Sus scrofa: one gene and its partners. The protein of the gene in region 1 interacts with the protein of each later gene in a pairwise test. Links are inferred from orthologs where the notes say so. Each region holds a gene or a part of one and is shown in the gene's direction. Other genes may lie near its edges. The genes, in order: ATF4, TRIB3 and JUNB.

Region 1 (3,745 bases):
TGGGGGACACGTTGCCCTTCCACAACCTGGAAAGAAAAGAAACGTCTCCTTTCCAACAGCTTTGACTCGTGTGTGTGGTGGGAAATAGTTTCCTACGTGAGTGGTACTGGTGCATCAGAGTGCTTGCTTGGGGTCTCCATAATAGAACGGATGGGGTTATTCCACTCCTACGGTGTCCAATTGGGGCAGTGTTACTTTACTTCTTAAGCATCTGCATGGACATCCATCAAGAGGCACTGACAAGTCTCCCATACAGCAGAGAGGAGGACATGCCCCGTGGCTCCTTAATGACACCTTTGGAAGACTTGGGTAGTGGCTCGGGGGTAGTGGCTCGGGATTCTTACTGTCTTTGCACCAAAAGACCAGATGCCTTGTACATGTTTCCAGAGAATTGAGATTCCCCAAGGGGAAAGAAAAACCATACCTAGTATCCAGTATGCTTTCCTAGACCAGCTGTTTATAGTTGTTGATTTCATCTCAGTAAATAACAGTCCTCTGAGGGAGCAGGATATGATGGGGATGGGAGGTGGGTTAGAAGACCTGCGTTCTAGTCACAGGAGTAATGGCAACCATTTATCCAGCACTTACCAGGTACCAGGCGCACGGCTCAGTGCTGTGAATATATTATCTTAACTTCATTCTAAGGATGAGGATACCCATCATTAGCCTCGTTTTACAGATCAGGAAACGAAGACTCAGTGGGGGTAAGTCACTTAACCAGAATGTCTCCACTAATAAATGGGAAAGCCAAGATTTTTTGGAATTGGCCCTTAAATCTGTCATAACTCCTACCCCATACTGCCCACACCAGGCAAGACATGTCATGCCTTTAGTCATCAGCTTACCACTGTAAAGAAATGGTTGGGCTAGACTGACTCAAATCAATGAATGGTTAGTTGTTATGTAGGAAGTGCCTGACCAATTTTTGACCTCACTGTCCTCATAGAAATAATATTTGTAGGGCCCACTGAAATGAAGGGGAGTGGAAACTCAAGGTTTCCCTACAGGGCCTGATTGGAGGACTGGAAGATGGTGAAAGAGCTTTCTCCTAGCTCTTGACAGTTCCCCAGTAGAGAGGGCAAGTTACTGGCCCTAACCTGGACTGTGGCCTCCAAACACACAAATTCCCCTAAGTGGGCAGGTCTGATCAAGCACCCAGGCAGTAGGACTTGCTGGGAAGTGGTTATGCCGCGGAGTTACAGAGTTGGTAAATAATTGAAACTACCCTAGAGTGAGAAAGAGCAGCTAAATAAAATACCTCATTTTTAGGGGAAGTGAAACTACATAAACTGAAAGAAGTTCCCCTGTCATAGGTTTCATTCTTTAACATAAAAGGAAACTTGTATTTTAGCAGAATGGATATGTAAAAATACAATTGTTTAGACCACAGGATTATGGATTTCCTCCACTCGACTCGCCTCTACAGAGTTGAGTCAGGACGCAGAGCAGGCCTTTGATGGTAGGTGGATCTCAGCTGAGGTCATCAGTCTCCCCTTCCAGTTACTGAAGGGTTCACACGTCCTCAGTATTCTGCAAGTGTGTGCAAGTGAAAACAGACGAAATAACATTTACTCTTGACTAGTTTCACATTCGGGCCTAAACCCGGTCCCTAGTTCGGAGCTTCTCCAAGGGCGGCAGGAAAGGACCACGAGGATTCGGACCTAACGCCACTATTTGGATCTGGGCCAGGGCTGCCCGGGGCAATCAAGGCCAGCTGGGTGGGCGGGGCTGAGGGAGCCTTTGCAGAGCGGCGCTACGGCGAGCAGGACGCCGGGGCCCGGCGGCGGGAACCTCACCCACCTTCCCGCGCAGATCAGGGGCTCCCTCGCTGAACAACCCGCCCGCCTCGGAGCCTGAGCCAATAGAAACTCGATGTATATATGACTCACCATGCCTAACCAATCATTTCGACGCGCGCTCTCCGCCAGTAGCTCGCGCGATAACCAGGAGACCTCGTACTTCACAATAAAAGCCCTTCTTGGGGTGAAAGACTCGTCTCCGCCTCTCGGGCTAGCACCGGAAGTAGCTGTGCAAGATCCTTCCGCGCATCCCGGCAGCGGACGGTGGTGATCCTTAGATCTCAAAAGCCTTGTAAAGTAGTGCGCCCTTTTTTGAGGCTGTAAATAAAAGTAACTCATTTGGTCCTCACAGTTTCGCCCTCGACATAAAAGTCAGAGACTGGAAATGGTAGGGGCGTCGGTTAAATGAAAGCGCGTGGGTGGGAGGCGCTGGTCACGTGACCTAGGCGGAAGAATATTCTCTGTGATGCGTCCCACAGAGGCAGAGTCTATAAAGGACCCGCGCTCGGCGAACCGCCGCCATTTCTTTTCCTCTCCGCTGTAGATGTAGTCCTTTTCTGCGAGTGGGCGCTTTTCTTCCTCCGCTCCCGCAGGGTCCGCGGCCGCCATGGCGTATTAGAGGCAGCAGTGCCTGCGGCAGCATTGGCCTTTGCAGCGGCGGCAGCAGCACCAGGCTCTGCAGCGGCACCCCCCAGCGGCTTAAGCCATGGCGTAAGTACCGGGGCCCGACGCTCTGGGCCGTGTCCCCCCGGGTCGGTGAAGGGTTCTTGTCTGATGCTGGGGCGCGGTCCGGCGGCGTCGCGGAGGGGGAAGCGGTTTTACGAGCGCCCGGGACGCGTGGCCGCTGATGGGGTGACGCCGAAGCGCCAGCGCCCCTGGGTCGAGAGGCCGCTGCGCTGTTCGGGCGTGGGGCGAAGTCCTCGGTACCTCCGGCCCCGGCCGGGGGGCCGGGGCTCCCCCTGGGGCTCCACGAAACGTGGCAGCAGCCAAGATGGCGGCGGGGCAGGGCGGCGGCCGCGGCGTGAGTCACGGGCGGGCGTGGGCGGGGCCGGACTCGGCCGGGAGGACCGGGCGCCTTCCTCTGGTGGCGGGTCGGGGAACGGCCGGGCGTCCATCTTGCGCCGCCAGGCGGACGCGGGGAAGGTTGGCAGCCGGGGCCAGCGGCCCCCAAGTCTCAACAACCACACGGGGTCGGGATTTGGCCGTCCTGCCCCGGGGGTGGAGAGGCGAAAGGCTCAGACCAGCTGTTCTCTAATGGGGCTTGGTTTCTGGTTCCTGTTAAGGCTTCTCACGGCATTCAGCAGCAGCGTTGCTGTAACCGACAAAGACACCTTCGAATTAAGCACATTCCTCGATTCCATCAAAACTCCGCAACATGGCCGAGATGAGCTTCCTGAGCAGCGAGGTGTTGGTGGGGGACTTGATGTCCCCCTTCGACCCGTCGGGTTTGGGGGCTGAAGAGAGCTTAGGGCTCTTAGACGAATATCTGGAGGTGGCCAAGCACTTCAAACCTCATGGGTTCTCCGGCGACAAAGCTAAGGCGGGCTCCTCCGAATGGCTGGCTGTGGATGGGTTGGTCAGTGCCTCAGACAACAGCAAGGGTGAGTGGGCTTTTCCCTGCCGGTGGGGTCTGGTGATAAAGCCTTGCTGCCGCGTGCATCTGACTCTGGGTTCCGTCCCTCTTAAATCTCTTGCAGAGGATGCTTTCTCCGGGACAGACTGGATGGTGGAGAAAATGGATCTGAAGGAGTTCGACTTCGATGCCCTGTTGGGTATAGATGACCTGGAAACCATGCCAGATGAGCTTTTGGCCACGTTGGATGACACATGTGATCTCTTTGACCCCCCACTCCAGGAGCCCCCGCAGATAGTGAACCCAATTGGCCATCTCCCAGAAAGTTTACCAACAACTGACCAGGTTGCCCCCTTTACGTTCTTGCAAACTC
Region 2 (3,745 bases), on another chromosome or scaffold:
TTTGCACTCCTCACTCCTCTTCCTTAAGATCTTAGTTTAAACATCACCTTCCTGATAAGCCCTGCTGAAAATAGCTACTTCCCAGCCATATCTTATAGAGAATAAATCTATGCTATTTATTCAAGAAAATATATGACACATCATCTATTTGAAATTATCTGGGCCTACTGATTTTATTTTCTTGAGAGTGCTCTGTCTCCCCACTGATTTATAAGATCCCTGAGGATGGGGGTGAGTCAAGCTTGTCACCACTGTCATCCAGCAATTAGAACAGGGTCTGACACAACATGAAGCAGTTAAGAATGCATAAGTCAACCCAGCACAGTCTTGCTTCAGTGAGGCCCTGGAGAGACAACATCCTGCCTTTCTTTGCCTCTTATGGCTGTAGGAGAGCCCAGTCAGTCTAGCTCCTGGTGTAGAAAATGAGTTCATTCATCGCTCCAGGCTGGGGGAGTCTCCAGGGTTAAATCAAATCCCAGAACCTCCTGGTATGCTCTAGGGCTCTGACACACACACACACACACACTCAGAGGAGCTGATCCCTAAGGTTCTGCAACCGGGGAAACAAAGCTAACTCCACCCACCTTCCCTTAACCTCTGTCTGGTGGAGTTATTTTTTGACACTGGTGAACTCAGACATCAAGGCCTAAAGGGAATTGGACCCTTGGGGCTGCACAGGGATGCTTCTCCAAACAGCTAGTGGCACCAGGGCTTCCCAGGCCAAGCGTGCAATTCCTGTTATAGGTGCCGGCTCTCCTTGAGCCTCCAGTTTCCACTCCTTTAGTATCTACCAGGTGCCGGGCGGCACAGCTCTAAGCGTTTAACATGTGTTAATTTATTCAATCTATTTCCTCAGGTAACACAGTGGGCACGCTTTGGCCCACTTTTCTTAACTACACGGCTGAAGTGCCTCTATTATATGCATGCTGTGAAGGCTACCCCACCCTAGTTCTCCCCGGGGCACAACAATTGTTCTATTGAGCTCCTAAATCCACGGCCTTTGCAGAGCTACCCCCCCACCCTGTAGCTGGGCCTCAGGCTGCTCCTTAGTAGAATGGGGAGAATGGAGCTTTCTGCCCGCCCAAGGTTCTCCTATACTGCAATGAAACAATGGCGGGAAAGTGCTTTATAACCCGGGAAGCACGCAGGAAACTATCACTGTTCTTTTTCTCTTCAGGCCCATCCTGAGAAGGTAGGATGTTCTTCCGTTTCACAGGTGGGAAAACTGAGGCCCAGAAAGGCAAAATGCTGTTTCCAAGGTGAAAGGGAAAGTCGGTGGCTCGCCTGCGGACCACACACGAGGAGCGGGGCGGGGCGCGCTCTAGCGGGGACCTCAGGGGGCGGGGCGCAGGGGATGGTGCAATCCCCCGCCGGAGGGCATCAGGCGGCGGCTGATTAGCTCAGGTTTACATCACCCGGGCCGGAGTTGAAGCCCGGCTCCCTGCGCTCCCGAGACACTCGCGGCGGAAGCGGCGGCGACTCGGCACACATTCCGGCTGCTGGGGACCCGGGCCAGAGCCCCATCCGGAGCCGACCTCAGCCGGGGCCGAGCGGCCTGGGCCATCGTGGGTGCCTGGCGACTCTTGAGCTTGGCCGGCACCAGGACCCCGCCGCTGGCGAGGGCAAGGTACCTGGCGGGAGCGGGAGGTGGTGGATAGAGGGGCGACCCGGAGCCTCCGTCCGGTCCGGGGGGCGATCTGGGCTGAGTGTTCCCGCTCGGACCCGGTGACGCGGCCCCGCGGGGCGTAGGGTCGCCGAGTGCAGCCGACGCGGGCGGGCGCGAGGGTGCGCCCCAGCGGGGCGTGGCAGCGTGTCGCCGGGACGGAGGGAGTGGGGACTGTGTTGGCCCCACGCCGCCCCCGCAGGGGTGTGTAGTGTCTGCGTTTGCTGGAGTGTGGGGCGGGCTGGGGAGCTGTGTGGTTGGGTGCGGGGAAGTCTGTGGGGTCCCTGGCGGCCAGGGGGCCTCTGTAACTGTGGGGTGTGCCGGTGCGGATCTGAGTCCGCGTGGGCCAGTGGGGTCCTGATGAGGCCGTGTCTCCTGGGCGCCCGCGGCAGGTGCTGGCGGAGTTGTGCGGAGACCGGCCGGGGTGCTCGCCAGCGGGGCAGGCGCAGGGTCAAGGGCTGCCGGCGCGCGGCGTGCGGGCGTGGCTCGCAGGTACGCTCCGCCTGGAGGCCCTGGTTCACACGCTGTACGGTGCGTGCGTATTCCGTTCCTGCCGACTGTGTGTGTTGTACCTGGATTCTGGGGTGAGGGTGGAGCGAGGCCTCTTACCCCAGACCCGGGGCCCAGTCGCCTTCCCTTTGCCCGGTCCCTGCCCCGCCGCCGACCCTCGGCTCCCGCTGAACCTTCTGCCCCGGGACGCTCGCCGCTTCCGCTCCCACGAGACTAGCCCAGCTGCCCAGGCCGGGGCGAGGCCACCTACTTCTTTCGCGCTGGGGTCGTGGCGGGGAGGGAGGGTCAGACGAAGCGTGTGGCCTTGGTAACTGTCCCGCAGTCGTGAGTACATAGTTATGAGAGCTTTGCTGGCTTGTGTATGCACATCTGCCCTTGGAGGGCGAGATGTGTGTCACTTAATGATGTGTGCACCCCTCTCTGACCTGCATGTGTGCCTTGACTGGCTGGATTGGACAGTGTTTCTGAGGGGCGTGTGTACACCTGTCTGCCCTGAGTCATGTGAGTTATATGCGGTTGGTATGACCCGCCCTTGTTCTCCAGAGAGCGTCAGAGAACAGCAAGAGATTGATACTAGCGGATGCCTGCATCCTGCTGCAGAGATTCTAGTCTTGCCTCATGACCTGCAAATTTCCCTTGCTTATCTATAGACTCAGTTACCCCACCTGTCCAGTGGAGCTTCTCCCAGGTGGTACCAGACTCTGAGCCCCGGATAAATCCAAAGCAGCCTAGGGTGCTGAGGTGGCCACAGGAGGAGGTGGGGTGCGTAGGGGTGGGTTGCAGGGCACAAAGCATCCACACAGCCAGGAATCATTTTACTTTCCAAAGAGCCATTGCAGTGAGAAGTGTCATCCTAGCCTTATCCCTGGAGAGATTTCTGAGACTCCCAAGGGTGGCACGTCAGCATATTCAGCTATTAATAATAACAATAATAATAATACTGAAATTCAAAATTCCCTTGCCTCCCTACCAAATCCCTTCCTCTCCTGGGATCTCCCAGGAGGCCAGAAGCTACTGTGGCCAATTTAGTCTGAGTCCTTCCAGACCTTTTCCTGTGCATTTCTACACCTATATATACAAATATGGAGATACATCCTCTTATATGATGGTGGGTTTTTATATGTAAAAGAGATCTCAGGTATATCGTTCAGCAGCTTGCTTTATTCACTTGACAGTGCATATATTCATTCCAGAACATTCATATGTACATTCAGTGTACACTTCATTCATCATCCTTTGTCATCCATACTCCTCCTCTCCACCTTCCATCCTTCTCCCCCTTTCATAGGAGGGATAGACACGGTACTCAACAGACATAGTGTAACGTCTCTTTTTTTCTTTTTTGTCTTTTTAGGGCTGCACCTGCAGCATGTGGAAGTTCCCAGGCTAAGATTCAAATAGAAGCTGCAGCTGCTGCTCTAAGCCACAGCCACAGCAACGCTAGATCCAAGCCATGTCTGCAACCTATGCCGAGGCTTGTGGCAGCACCGGATCCTCAACCCACTGATCAAGGCCATCGATCAAACCCAGGGATCGAACCCCCCTCCTCATGAATACTAGCTGGGTTCTTAA
Region 3 (3,745 bases), on another chromosome or scaffold:
CCATATCTCTAACCCCACCCAGAAATCCTGGTGCTTCCTCTCTCCAACATTGTCACCCCCCACACTGTTTGTCACTTCCCCTAGGAGGCCCAGTTCAACAGCCTCAGGCTTTCATAGGGTGTGGGCCTATTTTCTCAGCACATCCCCTGAAAATGAGGTACCCAGGATCTCAGCCAGGCTCAGGCCCCCCAAGACTTCACCAGCAGCATGGAGGGGGGGTGACAGAAACAGCTTTGTGGGAAACTCCCCTCGTGCCCAGCTGAGTCAGCCTGAGGAGACAAACTCTCCTCTCCTTCCTGCTTCCAAGAAAACTGAGCAGCTTCCTCTCCAGGAGAGGGGTGAGGGACCCCCCAAACCACAGAGATTGGGTAGGGAAGCTGCTGGCAAGCCAGGGTTCCTGGGGGGAGGGCCTCCGTGATTCTCAGCCTTTTCCTGCCAGCTGCCTGTCCACACCCAGGGGCAGGGACGAGGGAGTCTGGGTGCTGTGACTTGCGGGTTCTCGCCCTGGCCTGCCCACTGGCTGACTCACCAGCAGCCCCCAGCCCAGTTTTCTATTAAGGGCCCTGCCAGCCAGTGGAGCCGGCTGTGTGTGTGGGGGGGGGGGTGGGGGGGTGTCACCAGGCTATTTATAAGAAGGAGAAGTCCCTCCTGCCAAGGCCAAAAGCCCCAGAGAGACCTGTGGGTGGGGGTGGGAGAACTTCCTCCTTATCCAGTCCCCTAGGCCCCCGGGCCCTGGGCATGAGGGAAGCCTGGACACAGACTCCTTGGGCAGATGCTGGTCTGGAACCCAGGGCCTGGGCAGTCCCCAGCTGCTAGTCTGGGCACCCAGGGCTGATGGAGGAGGGGGCTCTCCTCTCTGGGCCAGCCTTGGCGCCAGTGGGACGGCGTGAGGGGGTGGTGCCCAGGCCACAAGGGTGAGACTGGCAGGGGCCTGGAACCGGCTGTACCAGCTCAGCTGGGCCCCCGCCCTCCCTCACTGGCCCATCCCCACCCCCTGCTCAAACACCCGTGCAGAGTGCAGAGAGTGACCCGACCCCACTCCAACATGCCGGCCTGCCCCCAAACACACTAGCACCCCTCTGCCCTGTGCCCAACCCTGTTTGTCTAAAGGATAAAGGAGACCTTTTTTTTTTCTCTTTCTTTTTCGGGACCCAGGTGTGGCATATGGACGTTCCCAGGCTAGGGGTCGAATCAGAGCTACAACTGCCGGCCGGCCTACACCACAGTCACAGCGATGCCGGCTCCGAGCCACTTCTGCGACCTACGCTACAGCACAGGGCAACTCTGGACATCCTCATGGATACTAGTCGGGTTCTTTTCTGCTAAGTCTCTATAGGAATTCCAGGAGACTCTTCTTGAAAGGGCCTGCAGAACTTGACAAACAGCTGGCACTGCATAAATGCCTCTCTAGTTGTGATTATCCACACAAAAAGAGCTGAAATTCTGGAGTCAGACATCTCAAGTTCTAGATCAATTCCAGTGCTTATAGCTATGTGACATGGGGCAAAGTTCCTTACCTTTCTGTTCCTAAGTTTTTTAGTCTGTTAAATGGGGATACAAAGAGCATGCATTTCGCTGGATTGTTGGAAACAGGCAATGAGTTATTCCATGTAAACCACTTAGAAGAGTGCCTGGCCCATGGTAAGAGCCATATAAGTGTTAGCTATTAAAATAATAATTATTATTTCTCAGTCTGTTGGCCTGTCTCAAGAGTCTCTGAGTTTGCATGACTCTAATCTTGCATCTCTCCCTGCCCTGACCCCCACCCCCATACATCCACTTTTCCTTGCTCAGGCCTTGCCCTCCATCTCTACGCTCATGGGCCAGTCTTGCCTCTCTCCAAGGCTCCCCTGGCACAGCCAGCTTCAGCACTGGTCAGGGATGACTCACTGTGTACTCCTAGCCTGTGGGACCTGCAGGTTAGCCTCCTGAGATGCTGCCCTCCAACCAGACCTGCCCAGCCCCCCAACACTACCCCGTTGCGCCCCCGCAGGGCCCAGCCAGATGTCAGCTGCAGTTATTAGCATGGGCGGGAGACACAGGCCTGGCAGCATGCCTGCCAGACTCAGCGGCCACTGGAATCTCCCTTGAGCCTGGGGAGGGGGAGGGGAGCAGTTCAAGCAAAGGAGGAGGGGAGGGGGTACCCAGAGGTCACAAGGACCCTCCAAAGATGGGGACACCCCCAGCTTCTCATGGGACCTTCCTCCCCAACACCACCACCGGCTCTGCTGGACTTCCCCCTGCCCCCACATAGCTCAGTTTCTCTTTCGCCTCTTTCGTTTTCCTTCTCTCCTCCACACTTGGTGAGCTGTGTCTGCCCTACAAAGGCTGGCTATCTCCTCTCCCTCAGCCTAAGTCTACCCTAAAGAAACTTCCATGTTTCCAAAAGATAGACATGTCTCTTTCAAGACAGAGAGGAGACAGATACTGAGAGGCTCATCTCTGGTTCTAGTGGCTCATAGCCTACCTCCTGGAAGTCCCACCTTAAGTATAACTAAAGCCTCAGCATCTAAACCTTCACCCATTTTGGGGAAGAGGCTCTGGAGAGGTTCCCTCAGATTCGACTCATGGATTTTCAGGTCCTCTCTGTCAGCAGGGGAAGGGAGCCCTCAGATGAGGGAGTGTGGATCCCCCTTTGGGTATTCTGGATGGTGAGGAGACCCTCACACTAAAATAGGAGTAGGGCCTCTCACCCACGTGAGTGAAGGAGGAAGCACCCCAGCCCCTAGGGATGTATTTGGGGAAGGACCCCAGATCTCCTGGCAGAAAGTAAGGGCACCCAGCATGAGGTAGGAGGCCGTCGTGCCCGCCCGCCCAGGCGCCGGGGTCGCCCAGAGGCATTGGCGCGCCCCTTCTGCGCCCATCGGGCCGGGGGCGAAGTCCGACCCAGGCCCGCGGGCAGGCGCGGACCTGCCAGGCTGGGTCGGGCTGGGCAGGGCCTGGCAGGACGCGGCCCCAGAGCGGCTGGGTGGGGCTGGGCCAGGAGGCCGTGGGGGCCCCGGGGGCGGCGGTCGGGGCTGGTCGGGACTAGCCGTCTGGGGGCCCGGGCGCGCCCTGGGACCTGGCAGATACTCGGGCTCCCGGCTCCTGGCCGGGGGCCCCGGGACAGTGCTGACCCCACCCCTTCCTGTGCCCTTATATGGGCGTCAGAGAGAGACTCCGGGGGCCGCCCCGCCCCCAGTCCTGCCTGCGGACTCCGGCCTGTTGCCTTGGCGACCAGGCCCCGCTCCCCGGCGCGTCCCCCTCCGTCCGGCTAATGGAACCGTCCCCGGATTGCTAGCCTTTACGACACTAGGGCTGAACCACTGCAGGGGTGGGGGTCGATGACTGGGGACCTCTGCGGTTGGGTGTGTTCCGCTCGCTCTGACTTCCTCGGGGGTCGCAAGCCCAGGTTCCTCTTCCGAGGCGCAGGACCCGGCTGGACCCAGGGCGGGGCATATGGTCCCGTAGGATTCGAGTGACGGAGGCAGGGCCCGGCTCCTTCCCCCGGGGCTGTTGCCACACTTCCTGCCGCGGCGCTCTTTCCCCAGCCTGTTTCTAAGGAAGAGTGGGGTTGGGCGACCGCGCCCCGGCCGTCAGGCTGGGTCCAGGCACCAGGAGTCTTCACGGTGTCGGTCAAGCCGAGGATCACTGGGGGAGGGCTTTGGGGGTGGGGAGAGAGTATACTGGAACTTAGAGGTCACTCACGAGAGGGGGCGCCCATCATGGAAGATCTAGCAGTCCAGGTATCCTGGATCCTCAAAGA

Evidence for each region.
Region 2: the proteins of ATF4 (region 1) and TRIB3 interact in binary tests that used the Homo sapiens proteins (3 or more experiments, as listed by UniProt). The link is inferred for Sus scrofa from reciprocal best matches to the Homo sapiens genes ATF4 and TRIB3.
Region 3: the proteins of ATF4 (region 1) and JUNB interact in binary tests that used the Homo sapiens proteins (3 or more experiments, as listed by UniProt). The link is inferred for Sus scrofa from reciprocal best matches to the Homo sapiens genes ATF4 and JUNB.

What each region holds. Positions count from the first base shown.
Region 1 is NC_010447.5:8,743,619-8,747,363, reverse strand, and holds the start of ATF4 (cyclic AMP-dependent transcription factor ATF-4), read left to right. Parts: upstream 1-1,611; 5' UTR 1,612-2,510; intron 2,511-3,082; 5' UTR 3,083-3,174; coding exon 3,175-3,400; intron 3,401-3,496; coding exon 3,497-3,745. UniProt on the Homo sapiens protein: Transcription factor that binds the cAMP response element (CRE) (consensus: 5'-GTGACGT[AC][AG]-3') and displays two biological functions, as regulator of metabolic and redox processes under normal cellular conditions, and as master transcription factor during integrated stress response (ISR).
Region 2 is NC_010459.5:34,817,180-34,820,924, reverse strand, and holds the start of TRIB3 (tribbles homolog 3), read left to right. Parts: upstream 1-1,332; 5' UTR 1,333-1,627; intron 1,628-3,745. UniProt on the Homo sapiens protein: Inactive protein kinase which acts as a regulator of the integrated stress response (ISR), a process for adaptation to various stress. Inhibits the transcriptional activity of DDIT3/CHOP and is involved in DDIT3/CHOP-dependent cell death during ER stress.
Region 3 is NC_010444.4:66,216,841-66,220,585, reverse strand, and holds the start of JUNB (transcription factor jun-B), read left to right. Parts: upstream 1-1,150; 5' UTR 1,151-3,745. UniProt on the Homo sapiens protein: Transcription factor involved in regulating gene activity following the primary growth factor response. Binds to the DNA sequence 5'-TGA[GC]TCA-3'.